4 linked regions of the Tamandua tetradactyla genome follow. The protein of the gene in region 4 interacts with the protein of the main gene of each other region in a pairwise test. Links are inferred from orthologs where the notes say so. Each region holds a gene or a part of one and is shown on either strand. Other genes may lie near its edges. The genes, in order: RAB14, RAB4A, EDRF1 and EXOC5.

The links.
Region 1: the proteins of EXOC5 (region 4) and RAB14 interact in binary tests that used the Homo sapiens proteins (3 or more experiments, as listed by UniProt). The two-hybrid records come from large-scale screens. The link is inferred for Tamandua tetradactyla from reciprocal best matches to the Homo sapiens genes EXOC5 and RAB14.
Region 2: the proteins of EXOC5 (region 4) and RAB4A interact in binary tests that used the Homo sapiens proteins (3 or more experiments, as listed by UniProt). The two-hybrid records come from large-scale screens. The link is inferred for Tamandua tetradactyla from reciprocal best matches to the Homo sapiens genes EXOC5 and RAB4A.
Region 3: the proteins of EXOC5 (region 4) and EDRF1 interact in binary tests that used the Homo sapiens proteins (3 or more experiments, as listed by UniProt). The two-hybrid records come from large-scale screens. The link is inferred for Tamandua tetradactyla from reciprocal best matches to the Homo sapiens genes EXOC5 and EDRF1.

Annotation. Positions count from the first base shown.
Region 1 is NC_135328.1:36,167,889-36,176,514, reverse strand, and holds the start of RAB14 (ras-related protein Rab-14), read right to left. Parts: upstream 3,591-8,626; 5' UTR 3,303-3,590; intron 2,869-3,302; exon of another isoform or gene 2,774-2,868; intron 1-2,773.
Region 2 is NC_135328.1:153,603,157-153,611,002, forward strand, and holds the start of RAB4A (ras-related protein Rab-4A), read left to right. Parts: upstream 1-4,468; 5' UTR 4,469-4,712; coding exon 4,713-4,743; intron 4,744-7,846. UniProt on the Homo sapiens protein: The small GTPases Rab are key regulators of intracellular membrane trafficking, from the formation of transport vesicles to their fusion with membranes.
Region 3 is NC_135339.1:88,275,133-88,282,959, reverse strand, and holds the start of EDRF1 (erythroid differentiation-related factor 1), read right to left. Parts: upstream 3,374-7,827; 5' UTR 2,854-3,373; coding exon 2,746-2,853; intron 1,749-2,745; coding exon 1,540-1,748; intron 1-1,539. UniProt on the Homo sapiens protein: Transcription factor involved in erythroid differentiation. Involved in transcriptional activation of the globin gene.
Region 4 is NC_135338.1:8,508,971-8,516,832, reverse strand, and holds the start of EXOC5 (exocyst complex component 5), read right to left. Parts: upstream 3,439-7,862; 5' UTR 3,424-3,438; coding exon 3,340-3,423; intron 1-3,339. UniProt on the Homo sapiens protein: Component of the exocyst complex involved in the docking of exocytic vesicles with fusion sites on the plasma membrane.

The sequences.
Region 1 (8,626 bases), on a different chromosome or scaffold from region 4:
ACTTACTCACATAATCCTTTATACATATAATATGGATACACACCAAATTATTAAAAATGAATACATGCGATGACAGTAGAAAGGGAATGGAAGGCGGAAATTATTAACTTTCTTTATATATCTTGGTATTGATTTATTATAATGAGCATGTACTATATTCATTTGATAATATTTTTTTAAAATATACAAAGCAGAGAAGATAAAGGACAGTAAATATTTCTAAAAACACTTTTTACATATAATTCAAATATACAAACAGGTTAAAGAACAAATAAAAATAAAAACCTCCCACTCGTAACATTTCCGACATTATTTCCACATTAATCAGTAATATGGGGAACATGATGTGAAGCCAATCACATGACCAGCCTCAAAAAAGAAAAGTAATTTATACTTCTTTTACTAGTAGAGAGTATTTCTTTAAAATAGTCTAGCTGTTTACTGTGTATGCTTATGCACCATGACTGACAAATACTTTCACAACTGTTACAGAGCTATTTTATTCTATTCCTTAGAACAGATGATGTGCCACTCTATACTCTTTATATACATGACCCAAGACTGACCAGGATAAAGAAACCCAGTAACTATTACAGGTAATTTAAATTCTTATCCTCATTATTTACACTGGTAAGATTTTATTTTACATGCAGGACATGTTGTTAAAAACACCAAAGCCAAATGGACTGCCTGTGTGATTCTAATGTGAAAATATTTGTTGAGCACCTACTAAGCACAAAGCATTGTGTGAGGCCTTGACAATATAGTAATGAACAAAATGACAACACTGTCATGGAACTGCTTTCATGGAACTCAATAACAGAACCCATTTGATCTACTTACAGGCCCATTAAAATGGAATGCTACTTGATTTGTCAATCAGAGGAACACAAAACTTCTGTAGTTAATCTAATAATCTAATATAAGAGCTTTCAATTTCCTTTTCTCAACAGTAGTATCAACTCTAAAAATAACCCACCCCTTCTGAGACCCACTTAAAACACTACCTCACAAAAGTGCCACATTTTACATAAATTAATAATGTGAATATAAGAAAAAAAGGACTCAATGTATCAAGAGAAAGACAAAATTTTGTAGTTAATTTTGATGGTATGCTATGAACAGGAAATAAAGTACTAAAATAGTGTACCTCTGTTCAGTGGGAAAGTGGAGGAGTGGGGTTGGGAGGAGATTCCTTCACTCACTACTGGAATTAACAGAATTAGTAACTGAAAAATTTGCAGATGAAATGACTCACCATGTTTGCTTTAAAATAATTTAGAGAGAGGACAGGTATATAAAAATGAAACACGAATGATCACTGTTGATACTGATGTATATGAACGCTCATTACACTCTACTTTGTATTGACACTGTCTGATGGTATATGAAGGCTCATTATACTCCACTTTGTATATGTTTAAAATTTTCTATAAGTTTTAAAAGTAAAGTTATCTCTGCTACCTCTATTTGTAAAGTATCATCTCCAACTACACATATTTTTAACCACATAAAAATATTCCAACTTTTAAAAAAAATGAAATATCTCAAAATAACCCTAGTTTTAACAAATCCTATCTGCCTTTTCCTCTAATAGTACCTCTTACTAAAATTATGCTAAGATATTTGATATTGATAAACTCAGTTGTAAGAACACTTCAAATTCTATTGTATAGTTGAAATATGCAGCAAATATAAAGTTTAACAGAAAATTTTAAAAGTTAGAACTTTTAAATGTAGCTTTAATTTCAAGGAATTTTTAACGGTTATTAGTGTTGAGTTTTTACATCCTTATGATAACTGCCATTTATTAAGTGCCTAATATATACCAGCTACTTTACAAACTCATGTCTTAAATTCTTAAACTCATGTCTGAGAGGTTAAGTAACTTGCTTAAGGTCACCTGACTAGGAAGCGGCAGTAACAAGAGTGGAAACTGCAGGCATTATGACTGTGAAAACTGTTAACCACTATATCACATTGCTTCAAGGCATGACCAAATAAAAATGCCTAAGCAGACCTTTGAAGAAAATTTTTGGAAAGGTTGTTTTTTGGGGGTGGGGGATGGGGGTGGGAAGGGGCTGTTGGAAATATTGCAAAATCAAATTTATCCTCTCAATAAAAAGCACAGCCAATTGTGGTGCAATAATGAAATAGGCAGTAAACTTTGCAAGAGTTCACACCTAGATTCTGACACTTGCTGTGGGACCACAGGAGAGTACTTGGGCTCTGGGAACCCCAGTTTCTTCCTCACATATAAAAGAGAAATCCTGCTATCTCTCTCCTGGGGTTGTGAGAATGAGGACTTGGCAGTGCAGTGGCTGACATGCTGGACTTTGAGTCATAAGGTGGTATCAGCTGTCAACCAATCCAAACATCGGAAAAACGGTATTAGATTGTAGTTGCATTTTAAATAGTCATGTCTCTCTCCCTAGAAGAAAGGGGCCAGTTTTGCATGTAGGCACCATCAATAACCAACCATATCACAACTTTAAGCCTCAGTTTCCTCACGTGTAAACTGGGTTAACATATCTCCAAGGCCGAGGTGAGGCAAAATAAACGCGTGAAAACACCTAGACACAGCAGAGTGCAAACCCTAGAAACACGTTTGCGCCTTCCTTTTTTCTGAAACAGCTGAAATGTCAAAACTTTTTTTCTTCTTCTTGGTCTTATAGGATATCATGAAGCTTACAGGGTCTCACCAAAAACAGAACTTGCAAGCACAGACGCAGAATCCCCTTCCTCAGCCCAAGTCCCGAGACAGTTTACCTACATCAACAGGGGCAGCCAGAGCCAGTCCAAAATCCAGGCGAGACTGCGAGGTGCTGCCTTTTGTACTCGCTGTCAGACTCGGCCTACGGGACGGGGGATGCCACATCTGGGGCTCGCGGGCTGGAAGGCGGCGGGGCACGCGTGGATAAATAATGCGGGGGTGGTCTGCAGCCTTAGAGAAAGGCAGCCAAGAGAAAAGGACCTGCCCAGTCCCGCCGAGGAGGCGGGGAAAACGAGGTGGGAACACACCCTATCCCGCACGCCTCGAAGGTCTCTGCTGGGGTGGGGAAGACAAGGTGGCTTTGGCAGGGGTAGTGCAGGGGACGCCATCCGACCCCGCAAGGGAGTCCGGTCAGGCCCGGCGGCACCCACGGCCGGCTCCTGGGCTCGCAGCGGCCTGACAGGGCCTGCTCCTATGGCACCGCCCGCCTGCAAGCAGGTCTCGCTGTCATTCCTACCCCTCCACCCCCCTCAGAAGAGCCGGGTGGGGAGGCTTCAGCGAAACAGACAGTGCGGAAGGCCTGGGTTACCTGGGGGGTTGCTGGTGGCTGGGCAGCTTTCCGGGCGGGAGGGGGGCGTCAGGACAAGGAAGAGGAGTACGGAAACGAGAGAGGAGGCGGGGGCAGTCGGCCGAGGCCCCGGCAGGTGGGCGGGCTGTACGAAGAGGTGGCAGACGCGGTGGCGGTAGTAGCGGTGGCAGCAAGGACTGTTCCTGCGGCTCCCTCTGGATCTTCCCCGGGCTGGTCCAAGATGGCGGCGCTCCCTGCACAGGGTTTCCTGTCACCCTCGCAATGGGCCGGACCACAAAAGAAGGGGGGAGAAGGATGCGCGCGCAGCTGGCGTAGCCCGGAAGAGGGTTACGAAGGCCCGGCCTGCTAGCCACGCCCCTTCTACCGTCCTCCTCTCAGGACTCGTCGTGTCGCCGCTGAGTCCCGCCCCATTAGCCCCGGCGCCTAACGGGGCGGAAGGAAAGCACTTATACGCAAGTCGTGCGTCCTCGCGCTTCCTAGCGAAGTTACTGCGCAGAATCGCGCGGAGTCTGGCCCCTGCTGAGATTGTTCTGGCTCTTGGTTGGTACATAGCGGTAAAAAAAAAAGCGGACTAAGTCATTAACGCCCCATTCTACCCGTTTTATCGATGGCAAAACTGAGGCTCGGCGAGATCAAGTCGCTTGTCCAAGATTAGACCGCTAGAATGTGCTCTTTTCTCCACTGTTTCATCTCTGTCCCTTCTAACCTTGCTCAGGAGGTGTCTTTTCTGGGTAGAGGGAAATTGTGACCACTTTTTTCAGTTTTTCCGCCATTCCCCATCCTCAAACTTTTATCTACCATTATTTTCCCAGAAAGCTTAGCGCACTTGCGTGCAGGGTGGCATTATAACTTTCATAGACCTTGAGCACTTTTACTTTCATGGATCCCTTCCTCCATTTAAAAAATTTCTTTTGAAAGAACTAAAAATGTTTTGTGGGGCCTTCAAATATTGTGAACTCTAGGCACTGTGCTTAATATGCCTAATGGAATAGCTCAACGCTGCTTCACTCATCTCCAAATGTTGTTTAAACTTGCTGTGGCAATCAAGACCAGTGGGAGTTTATTGAAGGAATGTATGGCAATTGACAAATCTCTTTTCTCAGAAGTACTGGATGTGAATTCCTGCTCTAACATTTTCTAATAATATGTGCTTGGTTGATTTCTCAGACCCTCAATTTCTTCTGCAAAATAGGGTTAGATATCGATCTCACATGGGTCCATGTGAAAATGAAAAGAGATAATATATGCAAAATTCCTGACCTTTAATAAATGAAAATGATGACTACATACTAATCTACTATAAAGTGAGATTGAAATCCCTTCCAGCCTTAAAGTCTATGCTTCCATCCCCACATTCTTTAATAAATATGTTCTTTTGTCACATTTTAACATTTCTGAAATCAAGAAATTTGCCTGTGCCAAACGTGAAAACTGAACTACTTGTCATATGAAAAATATACTTGAAAATTTGTCAGGAATGCACCACACTGAAGATGGATTCATTGTCTCTTAGTTTTCCTCTGGCATTGATTCTCATTACTTTTTTCTTTGGTTGACTGCTAGATGAAGTGGTTGGCTAAGAGTCACAGGCGATGCATGTGAAAAATATGCGTCTCTGAATGTTAGAACCACTAGTGTGGCAAATGCTTACACCATGAAATCCACAGGGAAACTGAGAACTCTTGAGAAAATTGCAGATTCAACTCTCCTCTCATACTTACCCCAAGTCAGGCACTCATTTAGTGAAAGGGAAGGAATATTCAGTATTTAAATTATTTTTATTGCTTTCTTTGGCCTTGCGCATATGGTTAAAATCATGTAAGTTAAAAGCATGTGGGATGTGATACAAGTGTATTGAACAAATGGTGACTCTCCTAATGGCACAAATATAGCAGGTGCTGTCAAAAGCTGAGATTTCACCCTAAGTGCAAGGTAGCAAGTTAGCTGGCACAGTTTCCTGAATGCAGGAGGAAGACTTGAAACTCCTGGTTCAGAGACGAAGAACTTTGCTATTTGCAACACATGAAGGAGCTAGAGCATCAGCATATTTGCATCAGTTCCTCAGGTCCTCAGTTCCCATGAAGGTGATATGGATGGGTCCAGATGGATGATGGCACACACAGTTGATTGTGTTACCAGAAAGTTAGCCTGACCTTAGGAGCCCAAATCTTTTATAATGGGAAGTTTTTCTGTCCTTTGCTCCAGAGAGAGAGAGAGAGAGATTTGCTTGCAAGATTGGAGGAACCCAGGAGACCCATGGAGGGTCAACAAGAGCAAGTTTACATTATATTGTATTATATTGTACTGTATATGAGTGAATGGTATGCTGTGGAGGAAAGACTATGATTTTGAAAGTCATACTGACCTTAATTCCATTTCTAGCACAGCTTTTATTATCTGTGCGATCTCAGTCAAATATCTTAATTTCCCTGAGCCTCAACTGTAAAAAAGGCTAACAAATCAGCCCTACAGAATTGTTGCTTAGGTAAAGTGAGAAAGTGTAACTGAAAGTATCTGAATATTCTCAGCATTCAAAAACACCCACTCCTACCCTTCCTGTTTTCACTGATTCCCTTATACATGTAAATCAGGTGCACAGTTAGGGCTCTGCCGCACCATCCCTCCCCATGTCCAGGTTGGGAAGCGACTTCTTGCATCCCTATGTATGTTAGTTAGGTTACATAGGTTCAGCTGCTGTAACTGAGATCAAAAAATGAAAGTGACTTTCACAAGAAAGCAGTTTCTTCTGCTCTCACACAGAAGTCTGGCAAGCAGTCTGGGGTTGGTATCGCAGCTTGATGGTGGCAATTTTTAGGCTCCTCCTTAGTTGTTGCACTGCCAGCCAAAAATATAACTTCTGTACTGTGGTTCAAAATACTTGTCCAGCTGCCACCACATGTCCTATTCTAGCAAGCAGAGGGAAGAAAACAGTGGATAGCAGGTGCCTCCCCTTTAAGTGTATAATCCAGAAGTTGTACACACCACTTCTGCTCGTGTTCCATTGATGAGTCATGTGGGCATATCTAACTGCAAGGGATGCTGGAAAATTTAGTCTCCATCCTAGGAGGGAGTCTTACTAAAGGGGAAAGAAAAGAATGGATATTGAGAAATAACTAGCCACTTCTGCCATACTGCCATTCTTTCCCTTAAAAAAACAGGCATCAGAATAGCTCAAAAGCCTGGGGAAGCCAAACCACCAGGGAGAGCAAGGATTGGGACCAGCAGTAGACCACAAAAATCCTTCCCACCTGTGTAACTCCCCCAGAATAACCATTTTGGAATCTGTGAAGGGTTCTGAATAAATAGTATCCACTTCCCTTGCCTGGGTTCTGGACGAGTTAATGAATAAAACAAAAAACAGGAATTGAAACAAAGGGAGCCCAGAATAAGAAAGAGGTCATTTAATTCTGTATAGTTTAATGTAATGCCTGGATACATCCTAGAGTATATTAAGAAGATAATCAAAAAGTATTGGCAAAGTCCCTTGAGGGATGGGAGAAAAAAAATATGAAACTATTAAGTTTTACATCAGGAAATCCCCTGATACTGTGTCAAACTATAGGGACATCCAAATAAATAGGCCGTGCCCTTAATCTTCAGGCTTACTCTTGTGAAACTTATGTAGGTAGCAGAGAAGCTTAGCTTACCTATAGGTATGCCTAAGAGTTACTTCTGGAGGACCTCTTTTATTGCTCAGTTGTGGCCTCACTCTCTCTAAGCCCAACTCTCCAAGTGAAACCATTGCCCTCCCCACTACGTGGGATATGACGTCCAAGGGTGAAAGTCACCCTGGCAACATGGGAGATGACTCCCAGGGATGAATTTGGCCCTGGCACCTTGGGATCAACAATTCCATCCTGAACAAAAGAAGGAAAAGAAGTGTAACCAATAAAGTATCAGTGGCAAAGAGAGTTCAAATAGAGTTGAGAAGCTACTCTGGAGGTTGCTCTGAAGCAAGCTTCAGTCAGACCTTGCTACCTATCATAACCTGCCAAACCCCACCCAGGACAATTCCAACCAATCCTAAAGAACGCTTAGGGCAATATATAAGATTCTACAACCAATATGAAAAATTTAGAATGGCCATAGCCCAAACACCCCTAAAGAGAGGGATGGAAAGATCAAAGGTAATGGTGGAGTTATACAGTGAAAATAGGATTTAACAAATGAATATGAAGCTGAATCATTAAATTGATATCTGTTTTAGTCTCCAGTATCTTAGAGCAGCTAGAAGTAAAAACCTAAAATTGTGAAACTGTAACCCATGTCAAACTCCGAAATATGTTCTACAACTAATTGTGGTGCTGTGCTTTGAAATTTATTGCTTTTTTTTTGTATATGTGTTATTTTTCACAAAAAAAAGAAGGAAAAAAATCAATTGTGATGATAAGAAAAATATTTCTTCTAGCCTCCTACATTCTGGAGCAGCTAGAAGGAAAAATCGGAGAGGATCTTATGGTAGCCATGACAAACTCTGGGATCTGTCCTGTAACTACGTGTTGAAGAGTGCTTTGAGAACTATTGCTTTTTTATTTCTTTTCTTTGTATATATGTTATGCCATACAATAAAAAAGGTTAGAAAGAAAAGAGACAGTTAGAGGCAAAAATATCACCTTGATTACTGTTATAAGCCAGGTTGAAGAAGAGTCTTTTAGAGTGATAAAAAAGGGGGGCCACCAATAGTGAACCCCACAAATGGGCTCCAAAGTACTGTATGAACAGTTCCCTCCTAGCAAGAAGAAGCAAGAAAAGTTGAGCATGACCAGATGTTCTTCTCAAATTTGCCAAACAGATAAATTACTTATATACTCACAAATGGATAAAGAGGGGAGAGAACCCAGATGTTTGCTCAGGAAAAATCCTTCCTCATAGAAACCTGGACTGGGGAAAGGGAACTCTGTTTTCCCACCCATGGTGGGCAGAATGGGGCTGTGAAGTAGTGGAGGAAGCCACTCTAATAAGAACCTGAAAATACTTGAAGGACCCTAACTGACAACTCAGAAATTACCCAATGCTGTAAGTGGACTTGTGTCCCACCTTTGCCTCTTAGTAACTGTGTGGCTTTGAATAAGTTCCATAAAGTCTCTAATTCTTCAGGTCCTTGTCTCTAAAATGGGGAAATATTGGATTCTAATTCCTAGGGTAGCTATGAAGGTAAAATGAGAGAAAACATAAAAACCTCTTAGCATTGCACCTGGCACTGAATAAGCACGCAGTCCAGTGTAACTGTATTCTTTATTTAGAGCCAACTGATAGCTCCTGAAGCAGTTTCTCCATATAAATTGATAACAAGAAAACCTCTTTATCTAATAGTGTGGAATTCA
Region 2 (7,846 bases), on a different chromosome or scaffold from region 4:
GCCTTGAGATGGGATGAGATCAGCTAATGAGTAAGTGACTGCAGAAAAAGAGATCCACAGACTGAGCTTTGAGGTCAGGAAGGAGCACTCCCTAACATGAGGAGACAAAGCTGGGAGTCCGGAAAGGCCAAGGCAGCTAGAGTTCTCAGGGCATGTTATGGAGAGGGGAGAGATGCACAAATAGAGTGATCTCGAGAGATTTGCAGAGAGGTCTCTTTGAGCCTTTCCTACTAATCAATGCTAGGCATACGAGAACACTAATTTTTTTCTTTACCAAGGCCAGGTAAAGAATAAAGGCTTGAGGAAACTATCCCCAGCACTTGTTGGCCACAGTCATGACCCTAAGGAATGTTAAAGTAAAACAAGAGAGAGAAAGGAATCAGGGGATCTGCAGACATCAGTCTTCAGACAAGTTTATTTTCAGCCAAGTACAAAATTATATACTAGAAAGAAAGATGATAAAGGTTGTTTGCATGCCAGAGCTATACAATGCAAAAACAAGTTCCAGGAAGTAAATACTTCTAAGGCTAGGATGTTAATTTCCCTTAAGCAAGTCTCTTCCACACTTCATTGTGCTTTATCTGCATATCTCGGCTTCTACTGAAGTTCCAGATCCTGAACACTCAAGTCTGAATTTCTTGTGTCTGCAAGCTTTAGGTTAAACATCAGCCTTTTAACTCCTACAAGCACTTACACAGAGTCCAGAATATTTCTTTTCCCACAAATCATAGCGGAAAACCTCAGAATTCAAGGACATTGGGCAGAGTATTCAGCAGGGTTTAGCCTTAGTAATGGGACAAAATTTTACTCTGGTTCCATGAAAAAGCTTAAAAGTAGGACCCGAAAGTATCAAGCTGGTTCAAAGCTACTTAACCATATCTCCAAACAAAACAAAATTTTCAATGTCCAGCATCCAATTAAAAATTGCCTGCCATGCAAAGTAGGAAAATACCACCCATAATTAGAGAAAAGTTAATCAATATAAAATAAACTCAGATGTTAAAATTAGCAGAAAGTGGTAATAAAACTATTATCAGAACTATTTTTCATAGGTTTAAGAGAAATCAAGAATGTTAAATAGAGAAAATGGAAGATCATCCAAACTGATCTTCTAGAGATAAAATTATGATATTTAAGATGTAAAGAACACTGGGTAGAACTAACAAAACATTGCAGGTTGCAGAAGAAAAGCTTAGTGAACTTAAAGACGTAACAGAAATGATCACTTAAAGACATAATAGAAATTATCCACAATGAAGCACACAGAGAAAAAAAAGATTGACAAGAAATGAACAGAACATTTGCTGTGGAACAAATTCAACACGATTGCAATCAGAAAAATATTTGAAGAAATAATGGTTGAAAAATTTCCAAATCTGATTAAGAAAAATTATAAACCCACAGACCAAAGAAGTGTAATGAAACTTAACTATATGAACCAGGAAGAAAATCATACCAAGTCATGGCATAATCAGACTGCTTAAAACTAGTGGTAACGTGAAAATCTTAAAAGCAGACAGGGTGGCATAGGGTGGTATATGGGGGGAAAAAGCAGACAGACATAAAAGATATTACATACAAAGGAATAAATAGAAGAGCAACAGTAGACTTCTTGTCGGAAACAATATAAGCCAGAAAATAGTAAAGCAACATCTTCGTAGCAGGAGAAAGAAAAAGCACACCTTGAAATCCAAATTTAGCAAAAATATCTTTCAAAACAGAAGTAAAATTAAGACTTTTGCAGATAAACAAAACTGAAAGAATTCATCACCAGCAGACCTACACTAGATGATTTGTTAAGGCAAAAGAGAAATGATGCCACATGGAAATCAGAATCTACACAAGGAATTCTAGATGTAGTAACTATGTACTTTTTTCTTATTGTTTAAATCTCTTTTAAAGAGAATTGACTATTTAAAGCAAAAGCAATAGTGAATTACTTGGTGTCTATAACATATGCAGCAGTTGTTTTCATTTTGCAAATGGAAACCCAGTATCACAACTGGAAAAGGAAGAAGACAACAGCACAAAGGCGAGAGCAGGATGGCAATGAACTGTTTGCTGTATTGTTATTATACTCCACATAAAGTGTCATAAAATCACTTGGGGTAGATTACGATAAGACCTATACTATAAATCCTAAAACAATCACTAAAATAATACCACAAAATGTTGTGTCTAATAAGCCAACAATAGAGATAAAATGGAATAATAAAAAGCACTTCTGTTCACTAAAGCCTAGAAGCAATGGCACTGCAGTAGTAACGTGTGTGTATACATCTACATAAAATTGTACACTTAAAATGCATACTTAGCATGCAGATGAAAGCCAAATACGAAAGCAACAAAGTAGCCAAGCCATTGATAAAGAAATATATGCAAAATAATCATAGGAAATTACAGCTCTCGAAATATTTCAGCATGGGCCTTCTCTGATTTAGAAGCAAGGAAATTTATCTGCCAATAGTGTCAGAAGAAAGAATAAAATGAAGAGCCAAATGGCTATTGAGGAAGAGGGAAAGAGGCCTCAGGGAAGGTCTGATGCCAATTTATGTGGAGGATGGAGCCAAATAGACACACATAAAATGTATGTACTGGCATTTTTCTCACAGTAGTTGGCTTAGCCAATGCCTATTTTTAAAATACTTATTATCGAGAAGTATCCACATACATTCAGTCCAACCATATTATACAACCAATGGCTCACAATATCATCACAAAGTTGTGTATACCTCACCATGATCATTTTTAGAACATTTGCATCTCTCCAGGAAAAGAACTAATGAAAGAATTCATACACCTCATATCCCTTACCCCTCCCTCTCATTGACCCATAGTATTTAAATCTACCCAATTTTTATCCTTTATCTCCCCCTATTATTTACTTATTTTTTAATCCTTATTATTATTATTATTTAGTCATCTGTCCATACCCTGGATAAAAGAAGCATCAGACGTGAAGTTCTCATAATCACACTTGCACTGTAAAAGCTATATAGTTATACAACCTTCTTCAAGAATCAGGGTTACTGGAGCACAGTTCAACAGTTTCAAGTACTTCTCCCTAACCACTCCAATACACCATAAACTTAAAACGGATATCTATATAATACATAAGAATAACCTCCAGGATAACCTCTTAATTCTGTCTGAAATCTCTCAGCCACTGAGATTTCGTCTTGTCTCATTTCTCTCTTTCTCCTTTTGGTCAAGAAGCCTTTCTCAATCCCATGATGCTGGGCCCCAGCTCATTTCCAGGAGTCAGGTCCCACGTTGCCAGGGAGAATTACACCCCTGGGATTCATGTCCCATGTAGGGGGGAGGACAGTGAGTCCACCTGCCAAGTGGGCTTAGAGATAGAGTCCACATCTGAGCAATAAAAGAGGCTCTCTTAGGGTGACTCTTATGCATAATCAGTAGGCTTAGCCTCTCCTTTGCTCTCCCTAGGAATAAGCTTCATAGAGGTGAGCCCCAAGATTGAGGGTCCAGCCTATTGAATTGAGCCATGCCTTATTTTAGCGTTTTATATATTTTAAACAAGGCTGGGCCTTATAAGATACGGCCATGCTCAGATGGATCAAACTCCCAAACAAAATTTCCTTTCCAACAAATTACTATCTCTACATTTCCAACAGAGATTTGGAACTGTTTTGTTCTTTAAGCCAAAACATCCAGCCAACGACTTTCTTAACCTCAGAAAGGTATCCCCAGCAGATGGTCAGGAAATGTTTCCTGCCAATAAATAACATTTCCCAAACAGTGGGATTTAAAGGGGCAGTAGTCTAGAGTCTTTCAGGCACTCTTCAGCACCTGCACACCTTAAGTTTCTGACAGTTTTTCACAGATACCCGCTCAGCCTCGTCCAGATAAAGAGCCAAACAGGTTTGGTTCGAAAGGTCCACCTCACAGGAGGTAAACTTGTTTTCCCAATCTCAGGGTTGACTCAGGCATGCAGGACACAGGCAAACACTAGGTGACACGTGAGCCTAACTCCCTCTTAGTTACACATTAACCAAGTCCCGGGGTTTATATAAAGGAAGTCTTTTCTCTGGCTGAGAGCCTCGAATGAAGACAAATACGTCTTCAATGAGGAGGACCATTTTGGCGAAAGACTGTATCTGTTCCCCAGCCTAGGCACTTTGCCTCCTCTGTCCAAAGTTGCTCCTACTGTGCCCTGCCCCGCGTCAGGCTGCAGCGACACCCCAAGCCTGCCCACCCTCGACCCCCCTTCCCCGCCCCTCTAATGCAGGTTTCCTCAGTCGCGCCCATCCAGGCCCCACCCCGACGCTGGTATCGCGCACGTGCTCCTTGTTTTGGTGCCAGAGGGGGGACGCGCGCCCTCGCCCTCGCCCTTTCGGCCCCCACCCCCGCGATCCGCGTGCGCAGGCGCGGCGGTGGGTGGGCGGCCGGGCCTCGAGCTCGCGCGCCTTCTGCTCCGCCGCCTAGTCCTCGCGGCCGCGGCTCCCCGGAGGAGGCGGGGTTCAGCCATGTGCGCCTGCGCGGAGCCGGGCAGTGCGGGCAGAGCCGCAGCCGCGGGGTGGCGGGCGGTTGCCTGGGGACCCGGTTGGGCCCCTCCCTCCTTCCCCGTCCACAGCCTCCTACTACCTTATCCACCGAGACGCAGAGAACCGGCTCCGACCCCTTCCCCTCCCGCCGGCGCGAGCCGGAGCTGCAGCCTGTGACCCCGGGGAGAGGCGGTGCCGCTTCCCAAGATGTCGCAGACCGCCATGTCCGAAACCTACGGTACGAGGCCTGGCCGGAGCCGGGGCGGGCGGGGGGCGAGCAACTTGCAGCCCGCGCCGGGGTCTCGGGGTTCTCGGGGGTGCGCGAGCCCCGCCCCACCTCGTCCAACCCCTTCCCTCCCGGCCCGGGCGCGGGCTGCTGGCGCCCTCCCGCGGGCGGAGGGCAGGTGCGGGCGCCCTGCGCGGGGCGGGGCGCGGGGTCCCGGGTCCCGCGGTGAGAAGCGCATTTACGTGATCTGCTTTTAAAAATTTCCTGTTGCTGCTTCTCCTCGCTGGCACCCTAAACGCTTCTCCTTTCTTACTCTGATTTCAGCAGCTCAGAGGTTTGGGAAGCCAGTTGGAGACTGACTCTCAGCTGCGATATTGACCCCAGCAAGGGATCTGAAGGGCTTAGGGCGACGCTTGCATTTGAGTGTTCCTCAGAAATTCCAGTTTGACCTTTCCTGTTTTTAAATTTCTTTCCTTTGGAATTGCAAAGAGGGGTTACCGACAGAATAATTCCTCTCTCCCTGTGGAAACCTCTTACCTCATTTATTGCTTTCTCTCCTTAGGGTTTTTAACCGCCTCTATTTTGCATTCTGGCTATTTATAAATGTCTTAACTGCTTTTAAAGACTGTAAACATCTGAAAACAGAACCGTATTTAATCTTTGTTTCTCGTACAGCATCCAGAGCTGGAGGTCCTCAGCAAAAAAAATATATATATGTATATGTGTATATATAAAAATTATGAAGGCCCACCCAAGTCATATACTGTTTTGTTTTGTTTTTTAACACCCTGGGCGGTAAGAATAGACAATACCGCATGTTTTTGCTTTGTGTCAGGATTGAATCAGTGTTTACTGTCTCTTGCCAGGCTTTCAGTTGTGTGCATTCTCAGATTAAGACTTTGATTTGGAGTTTTGAAGTTTTGCAGTCCCAGAGAGAGGCTCAGGTTCAAAAGCACTGTGACTACCACAAACCAAATTGATCTTATTTCCATTTGCTCCTGTCAGTGACCATTATTCCAGTCAAAAAATATGTGTAGAACCCACTGTTGTGGAGTATGCTAGGTACTCAGCAGGGAGTAAAGCAGACATGCTCTGGTCTCATGGGCAAGTGGGAAGTACAGTGTTAATTATGACACTAATGAATGAGTAATTAAAAACCCAGGTAAGCGTGCTGAAGCTATGTGGCCTAGGAAAATGTGTTAGAAAGAAATCTGACCTAGGCTGGGACGTCAGGTCAGGGAGTTGTTAACAAGTCACAGCACAGCATGTACCCAGGCCCTGTGAAACTGAATTCCAGTACAGGGCCTGTGATTTGAGTACAGGCAGCTAGGAGAAGAGGGATGAGGCAGAGAAGTAAACCTGGTCCTTGGTGGGGCCGGACTTTGTAGAGGGTTTTGGCCTTTCTCCTAAAAGTGGTGAGAAGTATTTGATGGGTTTAAATAGTGGGGCCAGAGAGGATTTGGCCAACCTTTGATGACTCTTGTGACTGATACTTGACCTGCTCCTTTTGGCACTTGGGGCATGATGCTGTGTTCTTAGAAGGCACAGGAAATCTTCCATGAAGTCACTGGTTTCATAAGTACCAGTGTTGTGGGGGCTGAAAGTGCCACAGTAAAAGACAGCCATGTGGTGTGGTTGTCTCTATACAGATCTACAGTCGAAGGTTTCATAAGGAAAATAAATTTTTCTAGCTATTATTAGTTACACTTTTGCTTCTCTTTATTTTGAAGTTCCCCTTTCCCATCTTTTACCCTTTGATGTAGCTAAGGAGCAGTAGGGAGGGGTGGAAAGTCCAAATAAGAAAACTGGGGGTAGGGTGTTCTTGACTGGAAGAATCCGGGAGATAGTTTTGTATGTTTCATTTTTCTGATTATGAAGCGATAAAATATAACATTGGCATCTGACACCTTCCGATACAGCTAATTGAATTTTTGAGCATCATAGATTAACTGATTAAACTCTGATGGTAAGACTTTGATTATTAGTATTCTTAATTCATAATATCTCCCAAATATTTTTTCACTTTTTACATTCTGAATTTAATCTTTTCCTCATTAGAGAAAATTAGTTTTAGAAAGAGGAAGTGTGGTGGTAGTTGAAGTTGCCCACCTAAAATAAAAGTCCCCAAAACCAAGTACAAAGCTGCCACTTGTCATTGACACATATTTACTTAGCATTGTTACTCAAAAGTAAAACCAATGCCCTCCTGCCTGAAACTTGCCTGCTAGTCTGGTGAAACAATGTTTCCTTAACCTTTAAATTCCTTTATATTCTGTGCTCATTTTCTCCCTTCTGTAAAAGGAGTCTCTATATATCTTGACAGGGGTACTATGCAAAATAAAGAGCCAGTGTTTGCAGTACACAGTCAATTAGACATATATACATGGTGTTTAGCATATTAAAGCAATATTTCACCTTTCATTGACTGAGTAGTATTGAACATTTTGTTGCTCAGGAGCCATTCACCAGGTGAAAGCCTACTTAGTATAATTAGTTACTGAAATCTTAAACTTAGGCAACCTGAAATCTTCATTCTGAATATCCCTTACTTGAGACAAGGTTGTCCCCAATACTGTTAGATTCAGAACATTCTTAAAGCCAATTAGTATTATTTGGAAGTCCCCTTGGACTCCTTAGGAGCTTCACTTTGGCCATCGGAAACCTGGAAGGTCACAAAAATAATTGTGATGCCAAGATTTGTGTTGCAAAACTAACCAGTCAAGTCGGTAGTGTAAGTGATTCTGGGCAGGGGAGGGGAGGATAGGAATAAGAAATAAATTTAAGTGTTAGTTTGAGACTAAGGAATGATCTAAGGCAAATTTCTACACTTTGAAATTTATGTAATCTACAGTGGAAACCATTTATGAAACAAGAAACCCACAACTCAAATTGCTGGTCCTGTGTTATTTTTTATTAAAACATAGTCTTAGTATTTTTTTTTCTTTTTTAATGCAGTTTTATTGAGAGGTAGCCATACACCATGCAATCCATAGTTTAGAATTTTTATCTTGTGTTTTTTTTAAAGTGTTACAGTATGATATATTACCATATAATTTTGAGTATTAACAGAATATTATCTTTTAAAATGTATCATTATAGGCTTTGATAGTAAAAA
Region 3 (7,827 bases), on a different chromosome or scaffold from region 4:
CAGCCAGGTTTTAGATTTCATTCTTTTAAAGTGGTATGATAATTTTATGTGACAATCTGGCTACACTATGATGTCTAGATGTTTGATCAAACACTAGCCTAGATGTTTTTGTGGAGGTATGTCCTAAACGGGATTATCATCTACAATCCCTTGACTTTAAGAAAAGGAGATAACCCTAAATTATATGGGTAGGCCTCAACCAATCAGTAGAGCAACAAAAACAGAAACAGGAAAATTGATCAGGATTTTAGTTTCTGGGATTGTGTTGGTAATGATATACAGTATTATTCTTTTTAAAAATACATATGCACCGAAAAAAAAAAATACATATGCACCTTGGGATACCAGTACAGCCAGAAGGAAAGAATTAAAAACAATGTTAACTGAGGGCCCAACTTTTATTGGGAACCACTTGAGGCACAAGCCCGAAAGGTAGTGATGTCACTGTTTTCTGGTAAGTGGTGAAGTCAAGACACTACTCACGTAGGGATGCCTAACTTCAAAGCATGCTCCTATGATGATACCATGTGGTCTAGGCAAGTTACTTGACCTTTCTAAGCTTCAGTCTTCTAATACAAAATAGTTATATTAGCAGTATCTATCTCAAGGGGTCAATGGAAAAATTAAATGGGATAAGCATGTAAAATAGTTAGCAGAGTGACTGTGTTTCTACACTCTAATTATAATTATCATTTAAATCACCTCATAACATTTAATTGTGTCGACACATCATAATTCACTAAGCCATCCTTCTAAAACAACACCCTTAGGTTTCCAACTTTTTTTAGTACAAACAGTGGTACAAGGAGCAACATCTTATAAATTTAACTTTTAGCTTCTAGAGCATTACTTCCTTAGCGTAATTTCTAAGCAGTAAAACTACTGTTTATAAAGTATTAACGAACTTACTGCTCTTGCTATCTTTCGTGGAAATATTTCAGGTTTAATCACTCTGAGAGAACAAAAAAACCCACCCTTTGCATGGTCTACATCTACAAGAATAAGGATGTTAGTACATTTTTCTCTCTAAGATATTGGGCCACACTCTCAACTTTAAATACTTCCAAAAGGTTTTTCCTGTAAGTGTCAAAATGAAGTGTGTAGATCACCTAACATGTTGAGTTTCCTATATCAGGCTCTTCTAGATCAGACATTCCACCACTATTTAATGAAAACAGGCAAGCAGTGTTAAGGATTTTCTCCTTGTACATCACCCTAATTCTTCATATTTACCTTTGAGATACCTCAAAAGGTATCCAAGGTGGTTAAAATTAAAACAGCTGATTGAATTTTAATGATCAAAACTCTGCTTTGTTAGTAACCATGCAGTCTTCAAACAAAAAAAAGCACATACAATTGATATCTTCCTATTATCATCTATTATTGGGAGGAGAAAAGGACTTGGAAAGTCAAATGTGACCTTTTTCTTCTGACAACTCTTGGCAAATTGACAAAGTACATAAACTAAATGAAAATACAAGTATTAAAGTTTTAAGGACAATAGAAGGGCAGATAAAAATGGCATCAATTAATATTTACCTTGAAAATGGTTTGCTTCTCTTACTATTGCCGAGAATGGTAGTTCCTGCTGGGCCCAGTTTGGCACTTTCCCGTAGCCAGTTGGCAGGGGGGAGTTTCAAGTCTGTTTTCTCTTCAAGGCGGGCAAATGCTGTCCGAGGAGGGGCAGAAGAGTACTTCACCACAGCTCGGCTCTTTACTTCACTGCCTCCAAGAAACAGAGCTGATCCCTAATTAACCCATTGAATGAAATGTTAATGACTAGTAATGAAAATTCCACTTTTATAAGAAGGGAAAAAAAAACAACACATCAAGCTCAGAAGGGAACAGATTACTCTGACCCTTGATAAATGTATTACAACGTGACATTTGCTTAGCTCTTTTACGCATACCTTCAAAGAAAAAATGATGAGTCAAGGAGTATGATAATTACATTTATCAGCTGGGAAATAGGCCAATCAATCTACTTTTAGAAAGCACAGAGGCAGAAACTAAAGAGAATCAAGTGTTACATTATCTAAAGGCCAAATTTAATTATGTCTCTGGTGAGTAATAAATCAAATATATCTTGATTTCAATAATATACATGTTTTAAAAACTAGTTTGTGGTATGCTACGTGGGGCTTTCTTGTTTTTAAGCAAACATTTAGTAGTTGATTTTTCAGTTCATTACACAAATACTCTCACCCTCTAACTCCACAGCCAGGCACACAGGGTTCCTCACAGCCTTCACCTGCATCCCCGCGCCCCCCCCCTCCCCAAAACAAAAAACAAAAAACCTCCAGGCTTACTGTCTGGGTTCATTTTCCAACCTTCTTTCACTCGGTCCTCTTTTGGGCCTGGCAGACTCTTTGCATCCTTCAAGAGTCAGCTGAGAACCACAACGTTGGCGAGTCTCTCCCTAGCACACTCTTTCTTTCCTCCAGCTTTGCACGAGTGTGCCATGCCTTGGAACCACCTATTTACATGCCTGCTCCTTGAGAACACAGATCATGTCTAACTCACCTGTCGCTTACCACCTAGTGGGTAGCCAAGCCTGTTTCTGATACAAACGGCTCCCAAGTGAAAAACCTGAATACCCCAACGGGCACTCAGACTTCTGCTCCCGTTTCCTGGAGCTGTCAAGGACAGAAGGCGCCAGAAGCGGCCGGGAACCGTCACAAGCCTCCCCGGCGGAGCGGGCGAACAGCTCCCGGACCCCGGGCTGGTCCCGCGCGGCAGGCTCACCTGTGCAGAACATTCCTCGGACTCTCCCTGGGGCAGGAGGCTGAGCCCTCCCGGAACAGCGGCCCCGACAGGAGGAGCCTCGGCTCCGGCCTCCTTGGTGTCCTCCATCACCTCGGTTCACGGAAGTCGAGGCGAAGAGGAACCCTGACCAGCGGCGAGGTAGCCTCAGCAAGCTCAGCGCAGGCAACACTCCGCAGACCGCATTTCCGGCCCCGGGAAGGAAGGAATTGTGGTGACACGAATCAAATATCGCGAGCTTTGTCCGCGAGGCCCGGGCCCGCCTCTCTCTGAGGGAACCGCCTCCTCCGCGGCGGGGGTGGGCAGGACGGTAGCTGTAGTGCGCCTGCGCCTCTCAGCGGCCCTGAGGGATCCCACTTCTCGCGGGACCTGGCGCTCCGGCGTCTCGGGACGGTGGCCTCGCGTCTTTGTTGGCAAACCGTTCTCGCGACTTGGGCTTGGGGAAGAGTCCCAAGGTGGGAGGGGAAATGTCGCTTTCCAAGTAGTAGGCGACACGCAGTTGTGTAAATTAGCAAGTGTTAGACCTCCTCCCTCCGCAGCCTCAAGTGTCCCCACAAAATTCACAGACGGGCGCCCTGAGGCCCAGAAAGGAAGAGGCTGCCCGGGTGAGGGGTCCCTCCCCGGCGTCACAGAGCCTGCGCGGGGACCCCGGAGGTGAAATGCGGCACAAACGGGCTCAGAAGAGGTGGCACCTGGTTGGGGCTTCGGAGCGCAGGGGTCCGCGGCTCGGTAATTCCTGGAGCATCTCATGAGACCTATTTGTCAGGCGCCAGGAAACTAGCCAGGGGCTTCCGGAAGGTTTAAGTCCGTAGGAAACGTCTGGGGACCTGGTTAAAATGCAGATTCTGTCTCGCTGGGCCGGGGAGGGCCGCGGTCTGCGCTGTAATGAGCCCCCGGGGGACGGTGCAGGTGCCTGGAGTAGCGAGGAGGGGAGGGGTCAGCCGGGGTCGCCGTCCCCTCGCCGGGCCCTGCGCTCTCTGCTCCGGGCCTCCACACCAGTGTCAGAGCAGAGTTGAAATGCAGCCACATCCTCACGAAATATACTTTAGTATACTAGTCAATTATTGAAAGGTGCTTTAAAAGTTATTTTTACTATTTCAAATTGTTATTAACGTTTGATGTAAACTCGCTGTCTCTGATAACGCCGAAGTCATGTGCACAATCAGGAATCTGGGACCCAAACTCAATTCACAAATCATGTGTACGAATTAAACTTGATGAATTTGATTTAATGCTGCATTTTGCAGATATTTGTGTTAACGTGTAGTAACTTTGATTTTATCTGTTTATATTTTGCAATCTGATTATTTTTTGTACAAGTAATATTGTTACTTAGAATAAAAAGTTGAACTCAAATATCTAATATAGGATGATTAAATCAATTTTGTACATCATAATGAAATCTCAGGTAGCCATTACTTGTTTTTCAAGACTAATGAGATTTACAGTGTACATGATGGAATATTAATAAATGACTTTTTTTTTACCGTTTGCAAATATTTAAGCTATTTATTGCCTTTAACTTACAACATTTCAGTATACACACTGCATGAAAATACACAGATTTTCCAAACACTGGAAATAAGGTTTTCGGTGTGAGGACAACTGGTGGTTTTCTTGTGATCATGAAAGAAAATGTCCAAAATTCTGAATCCTCAAGTGCTAAGTAGTCATAAATTTTGTTCTCTTCAGGTTTTCATCAAGTAAATTCTAAAAGATAATATACATATTACTGCAGGTAAAGCCGTCATTGGAAATTTTAAACTAATTGCATGTTTTAGGCTACTCTTTATGAAGAGAAAATATCCAGTATTTGTAAGGTAGCAGACAGTTGGTTTAGATACTCAGCTATTTTTATAAAAATAGTCTGGTTAGTAAAAATAGCATAGAGCGTATTTTTCCTTAGCAAGACTATCTGTGATGATGGAATCTGTGACTCAGCAGTAGAAGGTGATGATGCTGTCCCTTCAGAAAGCATGTTCTTTATTTTCCATTGTTATGCAGATACCTTTTTAGACATTTGTGTTTGATAAGCCGTCCTCCCTGAATGAGCTGGGCTACTTCATTTGTTGCATTGCATGCAAACAGGAGCCAGTTTCGAGGCTGTTCCTTGTAGGCAAATCTCATAAATGTCAAAGAATAACAACAGGGCAAACGTCATTGGGCCACTGGCAGTCTTCGGGGACTTTTTCCTGTCATTGATGGCAGAGATGGGAAGGCCCCAGTTGGCTACTGGGCCCCAAAAATGCAGACTCATGAGGTCGTCGCGGAACTCCTTGCTCCGCACATAGCCCGCCGCCTTCCGCAGCAGTGCGCCCGCCATGTCGCCGCCGCCCCCCGAGCCCAATGACAACTCAATAAATGCCATCTTACAAAGTAAATATAGAATATCTCAATTTTAAAAACATGTCTGTATTTATGTGTATATCCATGAAGATACCTCTGACGGTAAGATAAGTGATTTAAAATTCCTTCTTTAAAAGTTTTCTTTTGTGTCCCCTTTTTTCTAATCATGTATTATTTTATAAGATTTTTTTTTAGCTTTTATACATATGTATAACTTAATTTCTGATAATCTTCTGATTCTGTTGCTTTATGGTTTAATTCTGTCTTTACAAGAAGAGGTTTCCTGACTTAGAAGTAATTCCTTTTTCAGGACTCAAAGATTTTGCAGGAGCCCTGAGAAGTAAATGCCTGCCACCTTGTTGATGTCTAGTGGGAAAATGCACTGCAAACAGCCTTTGAGAAGACAGGAAGAAATGAAACAAGGAGAATCAGGAACTGTGCACAGAAAAAGAGGCCCACTGGAGCTGAGCTGAGTCATGAAGGGACCAGGGACCTTGAGGAGGGACTGGATTTCCTCTGGCTACACAGGGTCATGACTAGAGAGATTTAGGTAGTAAAGAAAGATTATCCCTGTGGGTTTGTGATATTGGGCACATCTGGGCTACATAAAGTTTATACATTCTTCTAGCTCTAAGCGCTTGTTAAATTTTTTCTCTATTCAAAACATTCGCATGTATTTTTTTTTAAGTTACTATCATGGTTTCTAATGTAAAGGATTAAAATATAATGTGGGAAACCATCGATCATTATTTCCACAGTTTCAAGTTTTAAGACACTATTTTCTGTTGTTTTATATTGAACTCGTGTCCACTTTCCTCACGCCTCCAGCCCTGCTCCCACTATCAGGGCCTGCTCTGACCTCTAAGTACCATTTTCCTGGTATTTAACCAGCCAACGCTCTCACATGTTCACCTGCTTCCCAGTGCTTTACGTTCTCTGTTACTTAAGAATTGTTTGTTGAATGAATAAACTGCTTATATTTCTCTGCTCCAACCGTATTGTTCCATAACTCTAGTCCTAGCTAGTGCTAGTCCTCTCTCTAGAATACCTTTCCCTTTCTCATCTGATTTATTCCTGTCCAACTCTCAAGATTCATTCCTGGTATTACCCCCAATAAGTCTACAGTGACGCCTCCCCGTCCCTACTCCTTAGGTTCTTCTTTTTTGTTCCCATAGCTTGTATGTAACTTTATACTGTCCTTATACACATTATAGAGAAATGACCTGTTTGTATCTACCTCTGCTGACTGAGCTCCCCAGGAGTAGGTGTCCTATCTAGTCAACTCTGATTCACTAAGACTAGGCACAGCACCAGCCAACAGGACCACAGTTAAGCACTGTAGGTATGATGACCAAGGCCAATAGGCCTTTTAAATATTTATCAAAATGTTTGAGGCATAAAGATACTGTTGTTGGCGCAAAAATTTTTTACATTAAATATATAAATACATGTGTGGTAACGTATTTATTTATCATAACATTTCCCGTTTTAACCATTTTTGACTTTGCAGTTCAGTGACATTAATTACGTTTACAATGTTGTGGTCATTCATTACCAAAATTTCATTACCATTCATTACCAAAACTTGTTCATCACCCAAAACATGAACTTTGCACCCATTAAACAATAGCTCCCTATTTCTCTAGCACCCCACTCCCCTCCCCCATCTCTGCCTCTGGTAACCCCTCATGTACTTTCTGTCTCTATGAATTTGCTTATTCTAGCTATTTCATAGAAGTGGAATTATACAACATTTGTCCTTTTGTGTCTGGCTTTTTTCACTTAGCTTAATGTTTTCATGGTTCATCTATGTTGTAGCATGTATCAGAACTGAACTTCTTTTTCTGGCTAAAGAATATTCCATTGTGTATGTATACTACAGTTTGTTTAGCTATTCATCTGTTAATGGGTACTTTGGTCAACACTTTTTCTTAATTGCAAAATCAAAACCAAAAATGTTTTATGAAATATCTCCAAAATATTGCAGGGTCAATGTCATTAATTATTAAAATTAGTATTCATACATATTTTGTTACATTATAAAACAATTTGAAGGTTAGACTTTCTCAGTTTGCAAAAACCCTCCCAGTATACATGATGATTTCAGAGAAATCACTGTCAATCAAAATTCATTTAGTTTCTTGCCTCTCAAAGTATTTTCCAAAGCAAAATTAGAAATCTTCCAAAAAACTTTTACAGGAAAAAAATTATACATAAGGTAGATGCAGATGTGGTTTGGGGGGCCCTCCAAAAGTACTTGTGCTTAAGGCCACTGGAGTTCCTAAACAACTTCACTGGTAGAGTGGGGATGCTCAAGGAATGTTTAGAATGAGGTAGTAGGGGGTGATTCAGTGGTAGAATACTCGCCTTCAGTGTGGAAGACCTGGGTTCATATTCCTGGACCATGTACCCCACACCCCCACAATAAGAAGGAATGGGGCAGGAGATCTTCAGTTTGCCAGCGTACCTTCCATGACCTAGTGTCTTACACATAACCAGCCTTACATATAACCAGCCCTTCATGCATTTACCAGCTGGACCTCACAAGGCCCTGAGTTTTTGGCTCCAGGTCCTGATCTTTTAGAATTGAAAGGGAGATTTGAGATTACCTGGTTCAGTCCCTTCCTTCTTAAATGAGAATAATGTCCTCCAGAAAGGAGAATTGACAACATCATACAAAGATAGCAAAGGCCCGAAATAGTATCTGGTCTCCTACTC
Region 4 (7,862 bases):
TCCTTGGCCCAATTCCAAAGGTATACGGACAATTGTAGCAACCTTGGCTTTAAAAAGGTATGGGGAATCAGAGATAAAAGTCTCGGTCACATCACCCGTAAAGCCACCAAGAGAAGCAGAGGTATTAGCTAAAAGAAATGGAAGTTACAATGGATAGTAGAGTGGGAGACATGAGTATCTAGTGCAACAGTAGGGGCTGTAGTTCATTCCACTTATCTTCTAATTTTCCTCTAGGAAGAATCTCAACTGCAATCCTGGAGAAGCTGGTCCCCAAATGAATATAAAGAAATGGATCTTAGTGGTACAAAGGTGATTTGTAGCACACCCAATGTGTCCCATCCAGATGTCCCATCCTTTAAGGAGGTATTGCTGCCTTAAGTGCCAGTAAAGCTATCAATATACAGCTTTTACCAGGCAGTATCTCCAGGGATCCCCTCAGCTGCAGAAAACCACCTTACCCAATGTCATACCTTTCCCAGAGTGACTCATAGCTAATGACTGATTAAGAAGGATGACTCTAACAGGCCATTTTAGCTCCAAATCTCCCTATAGCATTCAACCTTTAGGGTCAGCATTGTAGTTCTACTTCTCCTTTTGCCCAGTGTTGCTTCCTTACCCTGCAACTTCACAGATGTGGCTCTCAAGGGTATTTTCAATAAACATTCTACACACTAAACTCTGCTTCAGAATTTGCTTCCCAGAATATCCAAACTATGACTCTGTAGTAATCCAGTCAAGAAACGTTAGTGCCTCACACAAAGGTGGCAGTGGACGGAGTGCTGAGAAATAATCAGATTCATGGTATTTTGAAGGATGTACTAATAGGAATTGCTGATGGACTGGATATAGGGAGAAAAAAGAAAAAACTGAGTTATGGACTTGTAAAGACCTGAGGCCAGAACAGAGGTTTGAGGCCTGAAAGGTGGTGGGGAAGACTGAGAAAGGAGATGGATGAGAAACTGGGGAAACAATAGCTATGCTCTGAATATTATATTGGAGATGTCTATTAGATACAAAATGAAAAGACAGAGACTATAGTTGGAAAAACAAGTTTGTGCTATCAGGAAGAAACTGGAGCTAGATATAATTTTAGAGTCATCAACATATAGGTAGGTGGTTATTTAAAACCTCAGGTCTAAATGAAATCATCTAGGAGGGAAAAGGACACGACAGCATTTGGACAAGAAAAGGAAAAAGGATCCAAAAAAGAGACAAAGTAGAAGCGACCAGTGAGAGAAGAGGAGAATTAGAAAACAAGTGTCTGAGGTTTTATCTTCAGAGTCAATAACACTATCTATTACGAGGTTTTAAAGATAAACGTCTTACTGCTCCTAATGGGATGGAGATTAAAAAAAAAACTTTCTGCTTATAAAAACTAATAAACGCAATACCTTGCTCTCTAATAACTAAGGCTGTTTCAAAGACATTTACAATTATAAAAAAAAATTAATACATCCTAAAACCTTTAACTGACCAAGGCCTCCAAAAAGGTCTCTCAAAGATATCTGTAAACATCTGCCCAAAAAAATTTCTGAATTTTGCAAGTGACAAAGGTAAATGTTCATCTTATTTTAATACAGTAATTAAACACAAAAATTAACAAAACAAAAACAAAAATTGAAGAACTATGCCCTGTAGACTAATATAAAATGATATTAAATTCAATACTGGTAACTGTGTTGCTGTTAAACTGGTATCATTATTTATAAATGCTACCAATTGTAAGATGAAACATGGTGTGTCTGTGATCATTTCCATAAAAAATAATGACACCAAACCTTTGGACAAGAACCTAAAGCCCTAATTTAACAGTTTCTTGAAAAAGAATCCAACTAAATTTTTTATTTTCTTATAGCACCTTTTTCTAGAATAGATCTAATAAAATGTGTAAGAACCACACACAAATTCAAAGAAACCAGTACATTCATCTTCATCCTGACTTTAAAAAAAAGTATTTCAGAGAGGTATTTCTATATCCTATTAAACCAACTAACCCAAGGGTTCAAGTTCTACCTGTAACGTGTATTCCTTAATTTTAGTGCACTGCAAAACAAATCTTTAAAAATCTTTAGACAGACATTTCCTTTTGTGATTCCTATACTCTCAAGTTCACACTCCTCTGCCTACCCTTTAAGGTCCTTATCTTGCTCTACCTGCTCAAATTTCTCTAAACCCCAGAATGAACACCATATTCCTATCATCATATTTCATTCTTCTCTTCAAATCCACGCTACTACTGCTTCCTGTGGACAGGTAACCCACCCCTTTCTCCCCTCACAATTCAAACACCACTATACCATTATTCAAAGCCTGGCTCAATTTCCATTTCTTCCTTGAAGGTAGTTTCTTCTCCACATTATCTCCACTTATTTCTCCACTCTTACATCCCTTTGAGTTGTAAAAAGTCATATCCCTACACAGAGCAAACTATTACCAGTTGTCATTTGTTTTATAACCATTTTTGTAAGGTTTGCTTTTCTCTTCACACTTAAATTGAAAGCAAGGGCAGGATCTGTCTCACGCCTCTCTTGCTTTTCACCTGTGGTGAACAGAGCACTGATGAGCACACAGCAGATGTACAATAAAGCAAATTACTGGCGAGTGGGGCCAGGGCCAAATCCTCTACAGAGCATCTTGAAAATCAGCCAAGATCCATGTATAAAAATCAAGACAAAAAGGGTCACCACCCCCACCCTCCCAAAAAAAGAACAGACATAACATGGTGCTATAAATCCAAGACTGTAATATAAACCAACTATGAGCTGAGGCAAATTGTGACGCTGGAACTAAATGAATTTTACCATGTTTGATTTTTTTTCTAATTCCACCTGATCTGCTTTTTCTGGAAATCTTTGCGGTTTTACTTGAATAAATAAATGAATTATGTTTATTGAATATTTTTTTAGAGTACTATAAAAAATGCTTTGCCTCAAGCTAGGCAAAATAGGATTCAAAGGTAGAATGGAAATGTACAGGATAACGTTCAAGAAGGGAACATGAACTTTGCCTCTCTTTGGGAAGTGTCAACATCACATTGTGGTATGGAAGATCTTGCTGTAGCCATTTTGGAAAATATAATCTTCCCTTTTTGTAATTCTCCCCTAGTGTAATCTTCTAGCTCTGATCATTTCTTCCCAGTCTTCTTTGTAGTGAATCACCAACCATCTACTTTCTAAAATTCAAAAATATGGAATAAATTCAACTCCTCAGTCATCAAATTCTTTCAGTTCTACCTCCAATATATCACTTAAATTCCCTCTCTTCTCTATCCCCATTGAATCAAGTCAAGATTTCCTCTGCCTAGAGTAATCAATCAAGAGACAATTCTAGAACACCTACCAAATAGCAAGAAGTATGCCAAACTACCCAAGTCCTTTTATTTCCCCAGTTAACAATCTCTCTCCACTTAAGGTCATTCTTCATACTATCAGGAAAATTATCTGGAGAAAAGAAAAGAAAAAAGTCATGTCAGCCCCCTTAAGAATGGCCTATATGGCCTTCTGAAACTTTCCAACAAACTACCGCTATGGTTTCAATGTCTTGTTATGAACCATCACTCCCTATTCCCAAAACAAGTATATACACATTCTACCTCTTTTCCATATTTCCTGAACACACCTCACGTTACAAACTGGAACCTCTTACATGCTACATCTTCTATCTCTGCCTTGGAATGCCCTTCTACTTGGAATTTTTCTACTCATTCATCAAGATACAATTTATATGTCATTACTCTGTTACCATGGAACTAATTATCCCAGGAAGCACTTCTGTATTCCCATTGCACTATATTATCTGTTAACATGTCTGTTGCCTCCAATTAGATTTTTATCTTAAACCATCTTTAAACTCCATCAACTGGAATGATGCCTGGCAGAGGGTGGGTCAAGCACTCAATACATTTACTGAATGAATACATTTTTTTTCATAAATGATAATATAGTAGTAGTCAGCTTCCACAAATGTTTATTTAACAACTGTTATGGCTAAAACAGACTGCTTTTCAGCACTCTGAAGTTGAAGAGATGGTCCTTACTTGTATTATCTCAAGTTCCTTAAAATATACTTGGCTTTATAACTGAACAGGAGGGACTTCTTTTTACCCAAATCTGTTTAAATAGCTTTTGTAACTTGGTTTGAAAATCTAAGGGACATATTAATGTGTTTCTGTGGGAAAATGTGTTCTTGACTATTCAAATTCTAATTTGGAAGTCATAAAGCTGCTACCACTATATGCGAATTACCTAACTTTGTTACTTTCCTGCTCAGACACTTTAATCCTATGTTTACAGAAGGAAAAATCCAATTCCTAATTCTGGTATTTCCAGGCCTCCACAATCAGATCTCAATTTAACTTACATGGCACTACTCCTCTTCATACATGCTTTACCCCACTCAAAATGAACTCTTCTTTTGTTTCCAGGACACACAATTACCTTTCTTTATGTTTTGGCTTTTCTTGTCTATTTTACTGAATAGCCTCTCTACCCTGTTCCAAAAATTCAAATCAAAGCTATCCCTTTGGATCATTCAAACACCATCTTCTAATCCTTTCCCTCTTCTAGAGGCAGTCTTTCCATCCTCTCAACTCTTTATCAAGAATTCTTTGATACCACTTATAACTTTATTTAGAGTACATGAACATACGAAAAGACAACCTCTGGAATAGAAGAAAATAATTTCAAATCATATATCAGATAAAAGTTTAATATACAAAACATATAAAGAACTTTGTTGTTTACAACGCAACACAAAAAGACAAACAACCCAATTAAAAACTGGGCACAAAAATGAGAGCAGGGAACTCCAGGACTCACTACTTCCTTAAAACAGCTACTGTCTAAAACAACTGTTCTGGGGCTTTGGAGGCCAGAGGAGCACTGTTCAGCATCCAGGGAAGAGCGGGAGAAAGGGGCTGAGAAAATGTGGTAAAAGAACCATGCGTAGCTCATTCCACGGCAGCTGACAACACCCGTCAAAGGCGACCATATGAGGTCCGGTCCCTGTTTGGCTGTTGTAGACAGAGAGGGATGTGGAAGTCCTTGTCCCAAAGAATAGTGTATGTGTGTTGGGGAGGTGGGGGAGGGTACATGGCCAAACTCTGATCACAACTGTTGCTTGGAAAATTTGTATTACTGGGTTTTGGCTCAGAACTGCTGTTTTAGCCCACTATGGACAAGGATGGCAATGGTCATTGTTTCAATTCTGCCATCGTCATGGGCATAAGTGGTGGAGGTTTAAAGACCCAGTACTAAGGGTGGTGCAACGGTGGCTCAGTGGCAAAATTCTCACCTGCTATTCCAGAGACCTGGGTTCGATTCCCAGAGCCTGCCCATGTCCAAAAAAAAGATACAGTATTTATATAGGGCTGCGGGGAACAGTTTGCTGAATGGTGCCATCTGCTGGGCAGACCAGGAAAGTGCAACTTACGGGACTTGTCAAAAAAGCTTTTGGTGTCCTCCCTAACCATGCCCACAGAGTTCTCTGGACCAGGTCTGCACTTCCTTCGTGGGGCTGGGGCCCCGTTTTGGCTCAGAAAACTAACTTGGGAAAGTCCCCTTTCTTGTGACCCTCCTCCCCAGAATGTACCCTCCAGGCAAATGCAACAAGAGGCAGCAAAAGCAGTGTAAAAAACACACCATAGAGGCTAAACAAAAACTAAAGGAGAAGATCAAGAACGCCACAGAAGAAACAGGATTCCCAGGAAAAGAAGCTTTCTCCTTTCTTTTCTGGAGGTGAAACAATTGCACACATAGTGCAATCTTAAAAACTGTACTGCAAATTCAGGGCAAGAATCAAATGAAGAAGAGTTGAAATAATATGATCAGTTGAACATGGGCAATTCTAAAGGTCTAGAATAAGTTGAACTAAGTGTGAAAGAAGAGCTTTAACAAAAAGAACAATCAACAATAAAATCCTAGGCAAGAGTGTGAAACTGATCTTTGGAGTAAAGTCATTAAGATAATCAGTAGCCCAGACATTACCAATAAGTTACAAGCCTTACCAAGAAACAGAAAGATACGGCCCAATCAAAGGAACAAATTAAAACTTTGGAGGAGACACAGAATTTGGAACAACTAATCAAAGATGCTCAAACAAATCTAAATCAACTAAAGAAGGTTAAGGAAATTATAGTAAAAGAGATCAAGGATATTAAGACACTAGATGAGCATAGAGAAGAATCTGAAAGTACAAAAAGGACCAAAATAGAAATTATGTGAATGAAAGGCATCATAGAAGAAATCAGAAATATACTAGTGGCACACAAAAGCAGATATGAATAATAAGAAAGAATCAGTGAACTGGTAGGCAGAACAACCAAAACTATACAGACAGAAGAACAAATAATGAAAATCATAAAAACAAGTAGGATCTCAAGGATTTGAATGACAGCACAAAGTGCACAAACACATGTGTCATAGGCATCCAAGAAGGAGAAGAGCAGAGAAAAGAGGCAGAAAGAATATTTGAGGAAATAATCACCAACTCTTATGAAAGACATAAATATACATATCCAAGAAGCGTAATGTACACCAAACAAAATAATCCTAATAGACTTATTCTGGGACACACTAATCAGAATGCCAAATATCAAAGATCCTGAAAGAAGCAAGAAAAAAAATGATCCACCACATATAAGGGAACCAAATAAGACTAAGTTTTGATTTCTCATCAGAAACCATGTAGAAAAGAAGGCAGTGGAATGATACATTTAAAATATAAAAAGAGGAAAAACTACCAGCCAAGAATTCTTTATCTGGTAAAACTGTCCTTCAAAAATGAGGGCAAGTGTAAAATATTCAGATACACAGAACTGAGAGAATATCATCAATGAGAGACCTTCCCTACAGGAAATTAAAGGAGTTCTGCAGGGTGAAAAGAAAAGACAGGGGTGAGATGTGTGGAGGAGAGCGTATAAATGAAAATTATCAGTAAGGATAACTAGAAGGTTGAAAAAAAGAGACAAAAATAAGATACAACATATGAAAACCAAAAGATAAAATGCTGGAAGTATACTACCTTTACAGTAATAGAATTAAATGACAACAGATTAAACTCCCCAATCAACAGAGATTGGCAACAGGGATAAAAAATTATGACCAACTAAATGCTGCCTACAAGAGACACAACTTAGATCCAAAGACTCATAGGTTGAGAGTGAAAGGTTGGAAAAGTTAGCCAGACAAAGACTAACCAAAAAAGACCTGGGGTAGCTATACTAATATCAGACTAATAATGTGAAAATGTTAAAAGAGACAACACTACATATTAATGAAAAAGGCAATTCACCAAGAAGAAATAAAAATCATTAATATTTATGCACGGAGCCATGGTTCTCCAAAGTACAGACAAAAGCTGGCAAAGTGAAGGGAGAAATAGACATCTCACGATAAAAGTTGTAGAACTGAGCACACAGCTCTCACCCATACATAGAATATCTAGTCAGATAATCAGTAAGGAGATTGAGAACTTGAATAACGTGATACATGAACTAGACCAAACATATATAGAACACTGCAATCCCAAACAGCAGGATATACATTCTTCTCAAGTACTCATGGATCATTCTTCAGGAGAGACCATATGCTGGATCACAAAATTTTAAAAGACCAAAATTACACAAAGCATCTCCCCTTGCCCACAATGGCGTAAAGCTAGAAATCAATAACAGGTAGAGAACTGGAAAATCACAAATACATGGAAGGTAAACAACACACTCTTAAACAATCAGTGTGTCAAAGAGTACACTACAAGAAATATCAGTAAATATCTCGAAGTGAATGAAAATGAGAACACAACATATCAAAACTTATGGAATGCACTGAAAGTAGGCCTCAGAGGGAAATTTTTGCCTTAAATGC